Callithrix jacchus: one gene and its partners. The protein of the gene in region 3 purifies or fractionates together with the protein of the main gene of each other region. This does not show direct contact. Links are inferred from orthologs where the notes say so. Each region holds a gene or a part of one and is shown on either strand. Other genes may lie near its edges.

Region 1 (3,550 bases), on a different chromosome or scaffold from region 3:
TTCTAGATTATCCTAATACCCTCAAAAATTCTCCCTGCCCTTTAGACCAACCCTAACCCCAATGGAATCTTGTCCAGAAACCAAAGAGCACTCCATACCAGCCTGAGGACTCATACAAGTCCCCCATAGCCCATGATCTTGCACCTGCCTTGGCAACTGGGGACTTGCGCAGGTTAGCCTTGAGGATGGCAACACGGGACTTCTCATCAGGAAGTGGGATATAGATGAGCTGATCAAGACGGCCAGGTCTGAGGATGGCAGGATCAATGATGTCAGGCCGGTTGGTAGCGCCAATTATGAACACATTCTTTTTTGTGGACATGCCATCCATTTCTGTCAGGATCTGGTTGATGACTCGGTCAGCAGCCCCACCACCATCTCCAATGTTACCTCCACGAGCCTTGGCAATCGAATCCAGCTCATCAAAGAATAGCACACAGGGGGCAGCTTGGCGGGCCTGTGGGAGGAACAGACTGAGTCAAGCTCTAACAAAACTAAATCTCTCTGGCCAAATGCAGTGGCTCATACATGCATTCCCAGCACTTTGGGAGGCCAAGGTGGGAAGATCACTTGAGGCCAGGAATTAAAAAACAGCCTGGGCAACATACCAAGACTTTACCTCTAAAAAAAAAAAAAAAATAGCCAGATGTGGTGATGCATGCCTGTAGTCCCAGCTACTTAGGAGGCTGAAGTAGGAGAATTGCTTAAGCCCAGGAGTTCAAGGTTACAAGTGAACTATGATTGCACCACTACCCTCCAGCCTGGGCAACAGAGCCAGATATTGTCTCAAGAGAAAAAACAAAACAAAACTAAACACTGGATCTCTCAGACCTCAGAAAGATTACTGTCCAGTTGAGTAGCCAGCACTGTTTCAACTCTCTTAAAGAAAAACAGTTCTTGCCCCCAGGCAAATGAATACAGAGTCCACCCTATTATAGCTCACCTTGTCAAAGATTTCTCTGACATTGGCCTCAGACTCCCCAAACCACATGGTGAGAAGCTCAGGACCCTTGATGGAAATGAAGTTGGCCTGGCATTCATTAGCAATGGCTTTGGCCAACAAAGTTTTCCCACAGCCAGGAGGTCCATAGAACAGAACTCCCTTGGAGGGTGTCATGCCAAACTTGAGGAATTTGTCTGGGTGCTCCACAGGATACTAGGACAAAAAGGAAAGAGGGTTCAAGGCTACCACCATATTTTGAAAGAAACCTAACCAAACGGAAGCTTCATGGTGTACCCAATGGTATCAGATCCAGGTTCTCTAAAAGCAGACTCCTTAATGCCTCAAACCTAAGAACAGTAGGTTCCTAAGTTGTGCTCTTACAACTCTTGCAGCCAATGTGTTGATACCCTGAGACCACCCACATCACTAAGGCAGTGACTCACCCTGGACCAAGTTACCCTACCTGGACCAGCTCCTGAAGCTCACGTTTGACATCCTCTAGGCCGCCGATGTCTTCCCAGGTTACCTGTGGCACCTCTACCACAGTTTCCCGCAGTGCTGATGGGTTACTCTGGCTCAAAGCCCACTAGAAAAGAAGGGAAAACTGGATGAGACTTACCAGGGAAGGGTCAAAGCACATTAGGTGTGTACCTGAGGTAGGGGTGTGGTCCTTACCCGGAAGTCATCCATAGTAACTGCTAGAGAGTTCATGACCTCGGCATCAATGGTCTCATCCTCTAGGTCAATGAGATCCATCTTCTTGCGGATGGCTTGCAGAGCAGCCTCTGAGCACAGGGCTGCTAAGTCAGCACCCACATGCCCATGAGTCTCATTGGCTACCTGTAGAGAAAGACCTACTTACTATGCTGCCTCCAGCTCCCACAGGAGGCTAAGAAACAACAGAAATCCTTCCCCCGACTCCTATCCCTGGGTCCTCTCATTTCGTTGAATATGTACTAGCAATGTCTTTATTGGCTGGGTTTTAAGTACTCAATTCGGGACTTGAGGCCTAGAAATAAAGCTGCCCCAGAAATTCTGATTTACTCTAAATGCAGTGTTAACTGAGAAACAAGTCAACTCCAATTTCCTGGATTCAATCTCAGATCACTTCCTTTCCCCTGTCCAGAAATCAAAATCCATCTCCTCACATCTTAACCTTATGTTCCAAGCCAGTTCCCAGCAACTGCCTAGAAACAGAGATATTGTAATGCCCAGTCAGCCCTCATCATCACTTTACCTGTTCCAGGTCCACATCATCTGCCAGCTTCATGTTCTTGGTATGGATCTGAAGAATTTCCAAGCGTCCTGTAGCATCAGGAATTCCAATATCTACCTCCCGGTCAAAACGACCTGTGGGACAGTACATGAACACAGACAGGGCTCATTTCTAGTCCAGAGGGAAGAGACAGGCCTAGCAGGACCAACCATCTCAGTTAGCATAGGATTGTCCTGATGTTAGCAGTGAAAAAGTCTCAAACCCTGGGAAACCTTTCAGTTTCAGGAAAACCAAGTGGTTGGTCAGTCTAGACAGGATGCAGGATAAGGGAAAAAGACCCCTGGACCTAATCACTGCAAAGGGCTTCAAGAGGATTAAGTGACTTAGATGAAGGAGAGAGGTGAGATGTAAGCAAGGGCAGGGTTGGATATATCTGGAGTGCTTACCAAATCGCCGTAGAGCTGGGTCAATGCTGTTGGGTCTGTTGGTTGCTGCCATGACAATAACATGTGCTCTCTGCTTTAGGCCATCCATGAGGGTCAACAACTGTGATACAATACGCCGCTCCACCTCGCCATGTGTCTGCCAGAACAGGATGTCTGGTCATAAGTGAAGTTAGAGCCTTTCAACCCCCCACTATCCCTTCAGGTAAGCTCCTACTTTCTCTCTTTTGGGAGCGATGGCATCCAGCTCATCAATGAAAATGATGGCAGGAGCATTCTTCTCAGCCTCCTCAAAGGCTTTACGAAGGTTGCTCTCAGACTCACCAGCCAATTTGCTCATGATCTCAGGACCTGAAAGAATACAGAATGGAGGCAAAAACAAAATTATAGCCTTTCCTAATTACCCAAAAAACAGTTATCTTGCTTGTCTGGCTCAGAGACAGGTCCTGGTGAGAAGGTGGTGACCTTTGCCTACTTCTCAGATCCTCTACCAACCATTATCACAGGATAGCCACCAGTCCAGGCTAGAGAGAAGCCCAGGGACTCAGTATACTCTTCTCACAGTTGAACTAGAAGTATAAAGGTGACAGCAAATGCTCTGGGACCTATGGCTAGAGCAGGAGAGATGGCACACCAGCTAGATCTCTACCAGCTAACAGTATTCTCCAAGAGCCAGCAATCCAAGTTCATTTCCCCGAAAATCTCTCATATCAATAAGCATTCACCCATTAATTTCTCATTCTAGCTTGCTCCCACTCTTCGGTCTGTCCACAATCTTTCTCAAAGGGGACAGGACAGGGAGCACCAATGTAAAGTATCTTCCCTTTATTCTTCATCTGTCTGTAACATACCCCAGGAGAAGAAATATACTATAAAAGTGCAGGTGGGCATGAATGCAAAAGGGATCGGTCCATGAGCTCTCCAGCTCATGAGTCCCCATTCAAAATT
Region 2 (3,651 bases), on a different chromosome or scaffold from region 3:
GATAAAGTGACAGTGGAACTTGCTTGAATTCTGCTAACGTGCCCTGGCTGTTCCAATTCCAACCCTTGCTTTTCTGGGCCTTGTCACACAGGCGCTTCCCCCGTTCCCCCAGGGACAGTCTACCCTTGAACTCCTGACTCCACTGTTGCCTTTGCCATCTGTTCCTTCTTGGTTCTGCAAGAACATGTGATGGTGCTGCTGTCCCTGCCCTGGGCCCTGAATATTGGGAAGGGACAGTGTCTACGCTAGAGTGGGAAGTCCCCAGGGACTAGACCTTTACCTCCTCGCCCCTGGGTACTGTCATCCTCATGGAGCATGGATGGTGCTACCTGAACTCAGTGGTGGCCTCATTCTGGAAGCCAAGTTTATGCAGAGTAGCAGTGACCCAGGGATGTGGGGTTCACCCTCCCCCGCCCTCTGGCCAGTCCTGATGGGCCTCAGTCCCAATATGGCTATGAGGTGCGGGCAGCTTCTTGGTCAGCCTCAGGTTGGGGAATTACCTTCTGGTTTCAGCTTCCAGGGATTTGGAGATGACATCGTGGGTGAGTTCATTTTCCAGGTGCTGTAGTTTCCCATCATCAGGCAGGAAGAAGAGGGCGGTGGCATTGCCCAGGTATTTCATCAGCAGCACCCAGCCCTCCAGCTTATCACAGTGGTGGATGTTAAACATGCCCAAACGCCTCATCATGGGCACCTTCACACTGGTCACCTGGTCTATGTGGAAGTCCTCTTCCTCGGTGTTCTTGACCTCAAAGGGTCTCTCCCATTTGCCTGGACAGAGAGGAAGATGGGCATCACCAGGGGTGGGTGAAAGTTTGGAAGAATGTGGCAGAATAAAGGAGCCCAGAGTCCCATCCCTGAGAAGCCCTGAGCCCCCTTGATGACACACATCTCTCGAGCCTCAGCTTCACCATCTGGGAAGCTCCCGGAAAGGATTGTGTGGGGATAATTCTGAATGAGAGGAATATGCAGAGTTTCTACATCGTGGGGTTGCCAGGCTAAGAGATGCCATCCTGGCTGTGCATTTTTATTGGAATTGTATTTTTATTTGAGGGTGTCTTGGACATGACAAATAAAATTCTGGAGCATCAGGCACATTTGGTACCTCCTGTCTGGGGCTCCCTGCCCTTAGTTAACTGTCAGCTCAGTTATTCATTCAGGGCAAACATTCTGCTTACTACTCCTGAGGCCTTTTCCTGGATCCTCAGGGGAAATGCAGATGCCTAGGCAGCCTCCCCTCTGCCATACCAAGAGAGTTTCACCATCGAGGCATGCAGAGTGCGCAGGTGCCTCAGGGACCCCTGAGCTCAGCTTTCTCATTGGACAGAAGGAGGAGAGTGAAGCTGAAGAGGGACGGGGCCTGCCGCGTCTGAAGAGCAGAGCTGGGACCTCAGTTGTGCTGACTGCAGCCTGGCTGCTCCCCACTGCCCTCCTCTGCCTCAAGAGCAAGGGAGCCTCAGAGTGGAGGAAAGCAGGCCTGGGCTTGCCTCCCACCTCCCCTCTCCCAGGCTGTTTTCCTGGGACAGTGGGAGCTGGCTTAGAATGCCCTGGGGCCCCCATAAGTGTGACATTGTAACCCCTCAGGGGCAGGAAGGCAGCCTGAGGTACATAAGAGTCCTTCACCTGCTGTATGCCACACGCCGCCCCCCCAAGATCTTTGTCACTTGTTTAATCCTTAAAAAGCCTGACAGTCAGGGTGCTATTTTGTCCATGCTAAGATGGGAAATTAGCACCTCAAAGAGGTAGAATGCACTAATATAAGTGGTAGAGGCAGGATTTGAACCCAGGTCTTTCAGACTGCAAAGCTGATACTGATTCCCGGACACTAGAGTTGTCTAAAGTCTGTTCCATGAAACTATCCCATTAAGCAGGGTACTACAATTTGTTCTGTAGTTCTAAGCATTACATATTCTACATAGACAGTACACATAAGGACATTAAAGGCTCTGAAAAGTTCTGCAGAGCCATCGGCAGTTTTGAGAATTTAACCTGTTATTCCCCCAAATTACTCAATGATGGAAAACGCTGTAGTGTTTTTGTGTAGAGAATTGAAGAATCCATGCAGACATGGATGCTATAACCCATAATGCATTGCCAAGGAGAGTTCAAGAACTGATGGTCTGAGAATTTTTGTTTGTTTGTTTCTATGGGAACAGCTCAGGCTGATTGTGCAACCTTACCTTTAAAGAAGATGTAATTCACCAGAGCAAAAGCCGTGTCTTCGTCAAGCTCCTTGACCAAATCCACAATTTTCCCTTGGGTTCCCTTCTCCACATAGTCGTTGATCTGCTTCTTGGCCTTTTCAGGGTCCCTGAAGTTGACAGAGAAGGCTTCCGAGTGGTACAGCTTTTTGACATCCTCCAAAAACTTATCCACTAGCTTCAGGCTCTCATTGAGGAACAGGCCATTGCCAGTGGTCAGCTGGAGCTGGCTGTCTGGCTGGTTGAGGGTACGGAGGAGTTCCTGGAAGCCTTCATGGACCTGAGCCTCCGGAGTCTCCGTTAGGTTGAAATTCAGGCCCTCCAGGATTTCGGTGTGAGTGTCAGCCTTGGTCCCCAGGGAGAGCATTGCAAAGGCTGTCGCGATGCTCATTGGGGAGAAGAAGATGTTGGTGGTGTTGGACTGGTGCGCCAGCTGGCGGTATAGGCGGAGGGTGAACTCAGCCAGGTTGGGGGCGATCTTGTTGTGGGTTTGGTGGTCATGATCATGGTGGGATGTATCCATCTTCTGGGCAGCATCTCCCTGGGGATCCTCAGCCAGGGAGCCGGGGACCAGGCAGCACAGGCCTGCCAGCAGGAGGACGCCCCACGAGACAGAGGATGGCATTGTCCTGCAAGACAGAGACGAGGGGACCAGGGCACGTGATGACTTCCAGTGATCAGGGATTGACATCATGTAGAAGCACAGATGGTTTATTAAACCAGCCTGGGCCAAGTACTTGCTGACATCACTAACACTGAAAGAATCAGAAGAATAGCAAAATGTATGTAGTGCTTACCATATGCCAAGCACTGTTCTGTGGGCTCACATGTGTTAACTCATTCCTTTCTTGCAATAATCCTGTGAGGTGCTAATGCTGCTATCGTCATTTTACAGATGAGGAAGCCAAAGCCAGGGAGATTAGGTCAACTAGTCAATGTTACCGAGTAAGTAAAGTAGCAGAACTGGAATCCTACATTTAGGTCTTGCGTCCAGGCTCTGGGCAGCTCCCCTTACAACTGCAATGACCCTAAGATGCAAGTGGTACAGCCACTGTTTCACGAAAGAAGATGAGGCACCAGAGGAATAAGGGATCTGCCCACGATTATCCAGGATCAGGCCAGATCAGAATCAAGACTCACGTCGCGCTGGGAGCCCTTGGAGAGCTTCTATCTAACCCCACTATTTAGTGGCCAGGGAAGCTGCTGCAGAGAAGGGAAATGTGTCTTGCACAATGGCACCAGCTAGAGCATGGTGGGGCTGAGATTAAATCCCCTGGGGGCTGTTCCACCCAACACTCACAGGGAGCCTCAGCCCTTAGGGTTTTTTCCTGAGAGAGGGGCTGTCCCTACAATACTCTGTGGTTCCAGTCACAAGAATAGGATGATATGCCTGCAGTCAGCTTACTTGCTGTCCGAGTCACCAACGGTGTCCCCAGTTCTGGTCTTTTGC
Region 3 (3,651 bases):
ATAATACTCAGCAATAAAAAGGAACAAATTACAAAAACATACAAGAACAGGCCGGGTGCGGTGGCTCACACCTGTAATCCCAGCACTTTGGGAGGCTGAGGTGGGTGGATCACGAGGTCAAGAGATTGAGACCATCCTGGTCAACATGGTGAAACCCAGTCTCTACTAAAAATGCAAAAAATTAGCTGGGCATGGTGGCGCGTGCCTGTAATCCCAGCTATTCAGGAGGCTGAGGCTGGAGAATTGCCTGAACCCAGGAAGCAGAGGTTGCGGTGAGCCAAGATCGCACTATTGCACTCCAGCCTGGATAACGAGAGCGAAACTCCGTCTCAAAAAAAAGAAAAAAAAAAGACATATAAGAACATAGATGAGTCTCAAAAACATTATGTTGAATTAAAAAAAAGACTTTTTTTTTTTTTGAGATGGAGTCTTGCTCTGTCACCCAGGCTGGAGTGTAATGGCGTGATCTTGGCTCACTGCAACCTCTGCCTCCCAAGTAGCTGGGATTACAGGCATACACCAAGTCGGCTAATTTTTTGGTATTTTTAGTAGCGACAAGGGTTTCACTTTATTGGTCAGGCTGGTCTCAAACTCCTGACCTTGTGATCCGCCAACCTTAGCCTCCCGAAGTGCTGGGATTACAGGCATGAGCCACCGCACTCTGCCTGAAAAAAACCTTATACAAAGGAGTACATACACACTGTACGATTCTACTCATGAAGTTGCAGAACATGAAAAACTAATCTACAGAGGACAAAATCAGAATAGCGATTGCTTCTTGGGGGACAGGTGCAATGACTAACAGGGAAAGACATCAGGGAACTTTCTGGTTGATGGTAATTTTCTGCCTTGATATATACACGTGTGTGCATTTATAAACATTCATTAGTTGACACACTAAATATCTGTGTATTTTGTTGCACATAATTACCAAACTCTAGTTAATGATATATATACTAAAGTATACAAGGAATTAAGTATACATATGATGGCACATATGTTTTGGACAGGAAAGCTAGATGGAGGGATAGGTGTGCAAAAAGAATAGGGAACTATCAGGCCGGGCATGGTGGCTCACACCTGTAATCATAGCACTTTGGGAGGCCAAGGCCAAGGCCAAGGCCAGCAGATCACCTGAGGGAGTTCAAGACCAGCCTGAGTAACATGGAGAAACCACATCTCTACTAAAAATACAAAATTAGCATGGTAGCACATGTCTGTAATCCCAGCTACTTGGGAGGCTGGAGGAAAATTGCTTGAACCTGAGAGGCAGAGGTTGTGGTGAGCCAAGAATACGCCATTGCACTCCAGCCTGGGCAAAAAGAGAAACTTCACCTCAAAAAAAAAAAAAAAAAAAAAAAAAAGAACAGGCAACTATTGATTACAGAATTTATGTGGTGCCTAAATGAAGCTCACATTTTTTTTCTGATTTCCTATAAGTTTAGAAATTTTCATAATAAAATATGGGAGGAAACAAATAGAAAGGAAAAAAGCTAGTATGAACCATGGGGTAGTACTAGAAATGATAGCATAAACCCGTGTTTTTGAAAATCTACAGATCTAAAAATATACATGTGTATACATTATCATACATAGATATAATTCCACTGCTCTGTTCACTGAGAGGATCTGGGAATAGCAACACTTCAATAGCAATGAGCACATATAGCACCCAGATCCTGGCTTCTAAATACCATTCTCCACTTTAAAGGAACCAGGGCTCCTTGAAGAAACAGCTGATTCCAGGACCGGATCAAGGAGAGCACAACATGAGCCTGGTATATCTTGTTGAGCCAGAAAACAATTGCAAAAAAAAAAAAAAAAAAAAAAAAGTGGGGTGTGGTGGCTCACACCTGTAATCCCAATGCTTTGGGAGGCCAAGAGACAGGAGGATCACCTGAGGATAGGAGTTCAAGACTAGCCTGAGCAACACAGAGAGACCACATTTCCACACACAAAATTTTTTTTTTAAATTAGCAGAGCCTGGTGGTGTGTACCTGTAGTCCCAGCTACTTGGGAGGCTGAGGTGGGAGGGTCACTTGAGCCCAGGGGTTTGAGTTAAGAGTGAGCTACGATCATACCACTGCACTGAGCTCAAGTGATCTGTCTGCCTTCACCTCCCAAAGTACCGGGATTACAGGCATATGTTATGTTGTCCAGGCTGGAATGCAGTGGCTATTTTAAAAGGCCTGGCCAAAGAATAGCAGTGGCTATTCACAGGCGCAATCATAGTGCACAACAGCCTTGACTGGCTCAGCATTTAAAAAAAAGTACACAGATAGCAAAGTCTGAAGAATACAAAAAGAAAAGTTAACAATAGCAGCCCCTGCTACATCCAAGTGTCAGGATCATGGACAATTTTACTTTCTTGCTTAAATATTCTACAACAAACATTTTATAACAAAAACTCACATTTTATTTCTCAAGTGAGCCCTTTTTAATATGGTATCTCCCAAGGACACCAAATTCCAGAGTAGAAAGAGGTCTCATAAATCAAAAGTTCTACTGCACTCCAGCCTAGGTGACAGAGCAAGACCCCATGTCCAAAAAAAAAAAAAGAAATCAAAGTTCTATTGTTCTATTTCAGGAAACTGAAGTTCAAAAAAGGAGGGACTTGCTATACAACTGGTCAGTAGGACAGCTATACCTGGTTTCCAGTCCAAAGCTACTTCCACTCTGCTTCACTGCTTATCTCAACCACCTGCTTGGCAGGTCAGAAAGTCCACCATTAGAAACTTTCATCAGTTTTGCTCATTTTGCTACCTTACTTCACTAAACGTGGACAGCAGCTTTCATAAAAACAGTAGACTCCTCCTGGAACATGAAGTTCTAGTGGTCATCTGGAACAACAATTACCAGGTTACTCAACAAGATATCCTGAGCCTGTTAACCTTGCTCTGGCCACAACCCTGGCACTGTCGGTTACTACCCAATCCAAGTGCTCTTCAACTGCAGCCAGCTTGCTCAATCTGTAAATAGTTACTGACCTCAACTATGTGTACTAGGAGCTAGGAGAGCCCAAGAAAACACAGATCATGACCCCCATCCTAGTTTGCCTGTAAGAGTATGTAAATACTCACAAGATAGATGGTGTTTTCAGAATTCTTATTCCACCAGGCTGATTAGGAAATACATCTTCCAAGAAAAAATATATGTGTCCAACTGCAATACCTAAAGTCAAGCAGAAATAAAGGATGAGGGAGACAATGAAAATTTGGATTGCAGGCATACCTACCAACATAAATTGCCTATATTTAGGATGAATGGCAGCATAATTATTAATGAACGAATATTGTAGTCTTTTACAATACTTATACATGAAAGCCAAACAGAATATACAGGAAAAATAGTGACAAAATACATTTACAGGTAAAAGAATTTAAAAAATAGTGAGAAAAGCCTTACCCAAAAGGTCCACAATGATCGAGTTCCCCAACAACAAGGAAAACCCCATGAGCACCCAGGGCAGAAAGGGGGCCTGGAAGTTGAGAAGGCCGAAGAAGTTCATGCGGACATAGGGGTTCCTTCGGCTCCACACGTAGACGAGCATTATTGTAAAGGCCTGGCCCAAGAAAACTAAGCTCACAAACAAACCAAAAAGCTAGCAGATAGCATTAAGGAAAATGTCAACATTAAAAGTTTAATAGGGAA

What was found. Proteins that work in one complex are often made in the same cells at the same time.
Region 1: the proteins of DERL2 (region 3) and VCP purify together in Homo sapiens (affinity purification with western blotting; 4 studies listed by BioGRID and IntAct, with this or other methods). This does not show direct contact. The link is inferred for Callithrix jacchus from reciprocal best matches to the Homo sapiens genes DERL2 and VCP.
Region 2: the proteins of DERL2 (region 3) and SERPINA1 purify together in Homo sapiens (affinity purification with western blotting; 3 studies listed by BioGRID). This does not show direct contact. The link is inferred for Callithrix jacchus from reciprocal best matches to the Homo sapiens genes DERL2 and SERPINA1.

Annotation. Positions count from the first base shown.
Region 1 is NC_133502.1:141,939,434-141,942,983, forward strand, and holds part of VCP (transitional endoplasmic reticulum ATPase), read right to left. Parts: intron 2,954-3,550; coding exon 2,820-2,953; intron 2,742-2,819; coding exon 2,606-2,741; intron 2,294-2,605; coding exon 2,181-2,293; intron 1,784-2,180; coding exon 1,619-1,783; intron 1,530-1,618; coding exon 1,407-1,529; intron 1,157-1,406; coding exon 944-1,156; intron 458-943; coding exon 149-457; intron 1-148. UniProt on the Homo sapiens protein: Necessary for the fragmentation of Golgi stacks during mitosis and for their reassembly after mitosis. Involved in the formation of the transitional endoplasmic reticulum (tER).
Region 2 is NC_133509.1:129,215,591-129,219,241, forward strand, and holds part of SERPINA1 (alpha-1-antitrypsin), read right to left. Parts: intron 2,831-3,651; 5' UTR 2,827-2,830; coding exon 2,181-2,826; intron 772-2,180; coding exon 501-771; intron 1-500.
Region 3 is NC_133506.1:107,012,804-107,016,454, forward strand, and holds part of DERL2 (derlin-2), read right to left. Parts: intron 3,602-3,651; coding exon 3,406-3,601; intron 3,172-3,405; coding exon 3,081-3,171; intron 2,841-3,080; coding exon of another isoform or gene 2,837-2,840; exon of another isoform or gene 1,957-2,836; intron 329-1,956; coding exon of another isoform or gene 289-328; exon of another isoform or gene 1-288.